2 linked regions of the Nothobranchius furzeri genome follow. The protein of the gene in region 2 binds, or shares a complex with, the protein of the main gene of each other region. Links are inferred from orthologs where the notes say so. Each region holds a gene or a part of one and is shown on either strand. Other genes may lie near its edges.

What was found.
Region 1: nhp2 (region 2) and nop10 share a complex: the UniProt entries of both Homo sapiens proteins name them as parts of the H/ACA small nucleolar ribonucleoprotein (H/ACA snoRNP) complex. The link is inferred for Nothobranchius furzeri from reciprocal best matches to the Homo sapiens genes NHP2 and NOP10.

Annotation. Positions count from the first base shown.
Region 1 is NC_091742.1:80,334,211-80,338,090, reverse strand, and holds nop10 (H/ACA ribonucleoprotein complex subunit 3), read right to left. Parts: upstream 2,445-3,880; 5' UTR 2,317-2,444; coding exon 2,263-2,316; intron 1,365-2,262; coding exon 1,224-1,364; 3' UTR 621-1,223; downstream 1-620. Other genes in the region: uncharacterized protein, read left to right, coding at 3,860-3,880. UniProt on the Homo sapiens protein: Required for ribosome biogenesis and telomere maintenance. Part of the H/ACA small nucleolar ribonucleoprotein (H/ACA snoRNP) complex, which catalyzes pseudouridylation of rRNA.
Region 2 is NC_091750.1:25,734,460-25,738,768, forward strand, and holds the start of nhp2 (H/ACA ribonucleoprotein complex subunit 2-like protein), read left to right. Parts: upstream 1-1,458; 5' UTR 1,459-1,571; coding exon 1,572-1,734; intron 1,735-1,804; coding exon 1,805-1,874; intron 1,875-2,074; exon of another isoform or gene 2,075-2,108; coding exon 2,109-2,214; intron 2,215-4,309. UniProt on the Homo sapiens protein: Required for ribosome biogenesis and telomere maintenance. Part of the H/ACA small nucleolar ribonucleoprotein (H/ACA snoRNP) complex, which catalyzes pseudouridylation of rRNA.

The sequences.
Region 1 (3,880 bases), on a different chromosome or scaffold from region 2:
AACTCATACCTGATTCACGTTTCCCTCAGACAACATTACTGGGTACGGCAGTTCCCGGTGACATCTGTGCTGCTTTTTCTCTGCACTTTTTCGTCCAAGCAACCCACCAAAAACACTCACGCAAGTGAGCCCGTCAGGTCCTAGTTCCCTTGCCGTTGCAAGTTTGCGCATGCGTCGTTTTACTCAGTGACAATAGTGAGGGGAGATGTGGTCTTTACGTAAACAAGTTGTTTACGTTATTTTATTCCAACAATTTAGCAAGTTTCCTGAGTTTAGCACAAAACCAGTTTGCATCAAGAAGGATGAGTTCATATTGAACATAAAACACGCGGAAATAGATTTTCACATTAAAATGTTCAAACTGATAAATTAGCAAATATTAGCTCATAAAGTTCGAATTAAACAATATTAAGAAAAAGCAACATAGCTGAAATGAGCTAATGTTTTTCCGCTGCACCTCAAAATTACCTCGGACAGGTGATGTTTGTAAATGAGAATATTATCAAACACTATCTGGAAAAAATAAAGGTTGAAAAAAATGATGCAATTTTTCATTAAAAACACAACATTTTAACACTCACTGGGTATTTTGAGTACATGGATCAAAATAACAAGTGTGCTTTGAGGGTGTTAATTATTTTACTGTTCATTTTGTCTTTTCAGTTAGTCCAAGATGTTACTGAAACCAAAACATGACATTCAACAGTCACTGACTGAGTGTTTTGTGAATAGTCAAGATTCATTTAGCACAAACAAAAATACCTCTGGGAAACTGTCTGCAGCTCATAAATTACACACCATGACTGAATAGTAAACACCTTATATTTCAAATTCTAGTTTATATTCACAATAAATGTTATTTCTACTCAAATTTTCTTATATGTCGTCGTCCCCCCCAAAATAAAACTGGCATACAAATAGAGGTTATAGGAGCTAACATAGTATTATTTTACTGCAGACAATGTCAAGTATACCTTACTTGTTTAAATGTATGCAATAAAGGAGAATTAGCCATCAAATCCTGAATTCAAACAGTATTCAAGAAAATTCATCAAACATTTTTAAGCATAAAAAATGACAATAACCTCTACTAAAATCTAAAGACCTCATGTAATCGATCCAAACCAGCAAGTCCAACACACCAAGTGTCCTTTCAAAATCCATGTTGCCATCTTCAGCTCTTCATCCATCCATGCCTCCTCACTCCACTCTTTCCAGCTCCCTCACAGGACTGGCCTGGGCTGCTGGGTGAGCAGAATGCCAAAGCGTTTCTTCAGCTGCACTCGGTGTCTGGAAAACTTGTCATCCGGAGAGAAACGAGCCGGATGGGCAGAGCTGGTGGGCTGCCCATCAGGAGATGCCTTCTGTTGGAGGCAAAGATGAAGGGAAATATGTGTGCATTAGGGAAGAACACTGATTTGAAAAATAAAGGCATATGTCAGCTTTTTTTTTTTACATTTCACCAACGAAATAAGATACGTGGATGAAATTAAGTGTAACACCTAAATTCACCTTTTAGAATATGATGGCTATTATGGTATACAATAAAATAAACCCTCACTAACATATGTTTGATTCATTTTCTTGTAACACTACTCTGATTTACAGTAATAACCTATTCAGTTGCAAGTACAATCAGCTTTTAAAACATGTAAAGAGTTTTTTATTTCATGCGTAAAAACTAAATTTTACGCATTTTTCACTAAACTATGTTACGTTTCGGTTATTGACGTATTAATTTAAACTGTTACGTTTCGGTTATTGACGTATTAAAAGCAAAGGATTTTTATATGGTATAAATCAGAAGCTAAAATCAAATGTGTTTGTCCAAAAACACACAAAGGCGATCTGGGATATAACTATTTGTGTTTATACTGGTTCGCTACAAGCTTTCCACGTTAGCCACTAATTGCAACTGTCCATGTTCGCCGCTATTTTGCTGGCTGCACATGGAAAGCACTTTGAATTGCCTGGTATGAAGTAGCCTTTATAAATAAAGCGGCATTGCCATGCTTTGTTAGCTCAGCTGCTATCCATGTTAGATACTAGTTGCTATCAATGTTAGCTACATGTGAGGCTAACGTGAAAACAACACGAATAACACATCTTGAGATTTTTTTGGTTTGACTTGCTCCTTTATGTTTTAATAGAAGCCACGTGATGTTACTTTTCGTTTTCCAACAAAATAAATTTAAATGTAATGAGCTAAAACGTGAAACTGATAGGAGAGAAGACATGTTACGAACAACACACACAAATTACCTTCAGAGTATATACTCTGTCTCCAGACTCGTTAAGATAAAACTGCAAAAACATGACGAAAAGTCTTGATATGAAGCTTTATAAGTTTTAAAAAATCCAACTTTATTTTAGGAAGCTAGAAAACGTGGATCCACGTGCAACGAACTTTCTAGTCGGATATCCGGTTTAATGATCAGGCCGCTTGGAATCATGGGGAACTGAGTTTACTCGCAAATTAGGCTCTTTTGAATATCACACACTAATAAAAGTGCATTTTCAGAACTTTTATGCTTTATTCTAACCACCTCTCAACGTTTTACAGACCCACCAGCATCTATAACAACTCTTTGAAGAATCTTGAATTATATGAGATGATTATTATTATAACAATATTTATTAGATTGTTATAATTATTGTTTCTGAATATCGATTTACAACATTTAATTTTCTTCCGAGAACAAATAAAGTATTTTGGCCCTTAGCTGAATCAGTAACAGAGTAACTTTTACTGGTCCAATTTCAAAACAAAACACAATGTGTTTTTAACCAAAACAACCAAACACATTCTTGAACATCTGCATGAAAATTCTGCTGTGCTATAAAACAAATAAAATATAAAAACTATTTAAAGAACAAGTCACCCCCAAATAAACTTTTTTTGCTGATAAACTAAATAAACGAGTGTCTAATCGTGCTGCAGACATGTGCCGTCAATAATTTGGCACTTCAGTGCATCTTAGTTAAAATTTAGATATTCTGCCTAAAACTGTCAGTGTTGTGCCGTTGTCAGGTAAAAATTCTGCACTGTATTCTAATTTAAATCTGCCACCGCTATTGGCTAAGAGGTATGCTATGATGTAAACTGGTACGTTATGATGTCACAATGCCTGTGTGTTTGTGTATTTGTTAGCAGCTCCGCCCTCTCGGTCTGCCAGGCAACAGCATTTGTTGCATTTTTCAAACATGAAGTGGGAGTGGAGTTAGAATCTGGTACGGGTTGACTTGCTCTTTAAATCCAGTTCTTCCAGAATTATGAAATCCAAAAGCTCACATTCAAAATTAAACAATAATGATGTTTACTTTCAAACAGACATAAAGTTGGAATCTGTTTTTGCAGCATTCACCATAAACTACTCATGTCAAACGAGAAAGGTAAGTCCATGAAAATTCATTCATTAAATTATTACCGGTACATCTTTTTCCACTGAGAACACTTATTTTTCTTCATTAAGCCTATCTAGTGAAACAAATATGTTCAAATTGCTGTTTTAAATTAATATAAGAACCAATTAAAGAACCAAGTCAGAGGAGATATTTGCAACCTTAGCCGAGTGTGCGGTGTTACAAAGTACTTGTTGCTTCAGTCTTGTTGTCTTTGTTTATTTTTTTCTGGTACTTAAAAGCAGCCTCCTAAGTCTGAGAGAGGGTTGGTTCTGCACAGGTTTTCATGCCAAAACCTTCCTTCACATGTGTTTCCTTTTAAAATGTCCCCTGAAAACACAGATAGGAACAGAAAACCTCACAGCAGACTCTAACTTTATGTTGGGAGTCATTTACATGCTGAGAAGTTGTCTGAGGTAACTTCCATCTTTTGTCCAACAGTTTCAGCATCTCCACAATGAATCTCGAGGAGTGTTCC
Region 2 (4,309 bases):
AAAACCTTTTTGATCCTCGGGGGCTCCAATAGCTGCAATACCGACTCTAAACTGCGTGGTGCTAAAGAGTCGGATCTTTTTACTATGATTTCTGTGAATTTCACACAAGGGGCCTTTAAATGAAGCAGTGATTAACGGGCATCTGCAGCACTTGATGTCCTTCTGAAGAGCCGATGTAAATCAGGTGTGCTGAAGCAGAGACATGGACAACATCCAGGACAGTTGTCCCTGAGGACCAGGGTTGGGACACACTGAGGTACACTATGACATAAGCTGGTACTATATGATGTCACAATGCTGTTGTGAGCCTGTGTGTTTGTGTGTTTGTTAGTGGCTCCACCCTCTCACTCTGCCAGGCAACAGCATTTGTTGCACTTTTCAAACAGGAAGTGGGAGTGGAGTAAGCCTCTGGTAGGGGGTGACTTGCTCTTTAATGAGTTAACTAGCAACATTTTACAGATAATAATTATTGCTGTGTGGAATTTGTTGCATCTTTAAAATGCTTCGTAACATTTTTCTCACACACATTCCACTAAATCAGAAGTGAGATCAAAGAAAAGGTTTTTATGTGAGGGCGCACGGTGGTTGGGATGGGTAGCGTTCTGTCCACGTCCGTCACGGGCTGGGTGGGGGTTGAGCGGGTGCGCTTTGCCGACCTCCGGGGAGGCTTGGTACTGGAAGACAAGATGAACGGCTCTCTACAGAGACTCGGCTCTCATTGTTCACTTTGAAAACCAAAAGATTTGATTTGCTCGTGAATGTCACATCACTGCAGATAAATGAGTATGGAAGAAGAGGACAGAGCATCGTTCTTCTCCCAGACGGAGCAATAATCATACATTTGTGTCTCTGAGGACTACAAAGATGTCAGAACTAAAACAGACCACCAGCTGTTTTACATCCAGTGGTCTCCTTTAAAATGCAGCTGAACGCTCACCTGTTCAGGTGCTGCTACCTCTTCTTACTCGTTTTCTTTCTTCCCTCTCATTTTTATGTTAAATTTTCCATTTTCACAATTTATTATGTGTTTTTAATCATGTTTTAGTTTTGTTCTTGTGAAGCACCTCTTGACTCTTATCTTCAGAGGTGTTGCCCTTGTTCAGGCTGGCTTTTGTGTGACCTTCTTCACCACTCTCTTTATTCTGCTCTCCCCACCTATTCCACCTTCCTCAGGATCTTTCCCTATCTATTCACTCTCTCTCTCTTTCTTTACATTTTTTTAATCACAATTGTCTATTTTTTGCTCATTTTAAACATATTTTAACCATTTTCTAAATTATTTTTTTATGTTTTACACTTTTTTTTGTGAAGCGCCTCGTGATTTTCATCCTGAGAGGCGCTATAGAAATGATACTTTCTTCTTCTACACACACACACACACACACACACACACGCACACGCACACACACGCGCGCGCGCGTCTACAGGCCCTCTGTAGACTTTGCCGACATTTCCGCTCCTGGCCGCCGGGGGCGCTGTGGTCCAATGGTCCTGTTAGTCCGGGACAAGAGTTAAAACACGTGCGTGCTGGGTGAAAGCAGAAAGCAACAATCGGTTATTGATTATCAGAGATGACGAAGACGAAGAAGGAAAACGCGGATCCAAATGATTCGGTCGCATCGGCCGGTGGTTCCGAGAGGACCTACCAGGAGCTGGTCTCCCACCTGAACCCGATCTCTCAGCCGCTGGCCTCCAGGAAGCTCAGCAAGAAGCTCTACAAGTGCGTGAAAAAGGGTAAAAGACCACCGAGACCCGTTAGACCGGTGCTTGTGTCCCGCTTCTTTACCCGGTGTTTTGATTTCAGCTGCTAAGGTGAAGAACATCCGGAGGGGCGTGAAAGAAGTTCAGAAGTTCATCAAGAAAGGAGAGAAAGGGTGAGTTAGCTTCACGGTGCCCGGGTCCGTCCAGAACCTCAGTCCCCATTACTGTAGTGGTCCGGTCCGTCACTGTTTTCTGTCCCTCAGAAGAAGTTCCGCACTAATTTTTTTTTTATGTATTTAAATGTGAACATTATTCAGTTTTAGCGCATTGAACCATTCAGGACACCGTAGTCATCCGCGCGTTAGAACCTCACCTGTGCTCACCTGAACCCGGTCTGGTCTCTGCAGCATCGTGGTCCTGGCGGGCGACACGCTGCCCATCGACGTGTACTGTCACCTGCCCATCATGTGTGAGGACAGGAGCCTGCCGTACGCCTACGTGCCCTCTAAAACGGTGAGTGAGTGGAGCTGGGGTCAAAGGTCAGCAGGTGTTGTCAGGATTTCAGATTTCTCACACGTCAGTTTTAACCCTTGACTTCAAGTAAAACACACATTCTATGAGGTAAAGGGCTGGTGTCGTGGTTTTTAGATTCTGATTGTGTTAAACGTTATTATTACTATTATTATTACTACTATTACTAGTACTATTATTATATATGATATATGTGTATATATGATCCAACGGTTTTGATCTAAATCAGGGCCGTGTGCATATCTGGTCCATCTACACCGGGGGGAGGGGGTTCCACGTAGTGAGCTCAGAACGTCAGCGCTATAATGAATCCATGCTTCCGTACCACCAACGATGCTCGAGTGGAATCATCTCTATTTAAAGCAAGGCCCACAGGCAGACCCTGTTAATCGATACTAGATAAATGAGAATGGAAGAAGGTACAGAGCCTCGTCCTTCATCTGGATAGAGGAAGATTTACGAGGACTACAAAGACATCAGAACTAAAACATGCCACCAGCTGTTTGATCAAAGCTGGATAGCTGGAGTGTTTACAGGTTTCCATGGCAATGCCGAAAGTCCGCCTCAGCTCTGTTGCTGAGTTTTCATCATTTATATGTTGTTATCATGTTCTGCTCCAGGGTCTGGGTGTTTACAGTCTCGAGGACGTAGTTTTTGCTGAGCAGTAGTGGTGGTCACGTGACCTTAAAGTTGCCCGTTTGTCACAAGTATGTTTATGTTTATTTATTTGGCAGACGCTTTTATCCAAAGCGACTTACAATTTATAACCTATAGGGCGTGTTGTGATCTGTGGGGGAAACCGGAGTACCCGGAGGAAACCCGCGCATGCATGGGGCCAGAGTACAGCTTTTAACGCAGGGCTACTCGGTTAGATTTTTTGTTGGGCCAAATTATCATGAGGCTTTTGCCAGCGGGCCGTACATTTCCCCGTATCTCATATTTACCTATTAAAACAAAGTGCCGCTGCATTTTCAACAGTTTTATTGAAACAAGTCAAATGACATTAGGATTAACTGCTGGTTTTTAGTGAAAATAATAGAAACTGCAAAACATAGCCAACTCTGGTTTTAACAGAACTCCGAGTCACAAACTCAGTTACAGTACTTGTTTTCGCTTAAAATAAAGCCAAGAAAACATAACCAGCTGTAGTTTGACTGAAATCACGGTCACATAAAGAACACAGTAACGATAATTACAATGTCTTTTATGCAAATAAGAACAAACAAAACTTTCAATTAAATCACAAAATTAAACTACTGGCTTTTAAAGCATATAAATGAAAGAAAAGTCTGAGTCAACAACTCATAGTGACAGCACTTGCTCTGTGCTTAGTAAAGCGTAGAAAACAACCGGTTTAGTAGGGCTGGGGGTAAACGATTATTTTTAAAACGATTATTCTGATGATTATTTTATCGAATAGTCGACTATTCTAATGACTATTTAGAAAATTAATCTAATGATTATTTTTCTATTGCACAATTAACAAAAACCAGAAAATCTCAAATAAATTCCTCAAAAAAATTGATAAATTCTTACTGTAAGAGAATAAACACTACAGGCCTTCCATGCTTTTATTGTGTTGGTTGGTTATGTTCTGGTGACGTGTAGAACTTGGGAGTGCAGGCTGCTGCCTGAGAGGTGGTAGAAGATGGAGTGTCTCCATGCTGCTTTGTTTTGGTCACTTATGTGCGTGAGGCGAGTGGTCTTACGGGTTAAACCAAACTCAGGTGATATTTTACACTAAACCGAAAACCCACAACACTCTAAATGTAATAAAAGGGAGATCTGCACCACAAAAAAAGATGAACTCTAAACCAAAACGTAACAGCTTATCCCAACGCAAGAAGCTGTTAGCGAAGATGCTAACAGTAGCTTTACCAACGTTAAGTTCAAGTTACCAAGTTTAAATAAACCAAAAACACCCAGCAGCAAACAGACCAGCATGGAGGAGAGACCGTTACCACCAAAACAGCTCTCCTCATGTCTGAAAGAAGCTCCTTAATGAAGGGAGAAACGCTCCCGGTGATGTTCTACATCTGCGATAGACACGAAGCAGCGCGTCTGACCCCGGAAGTTG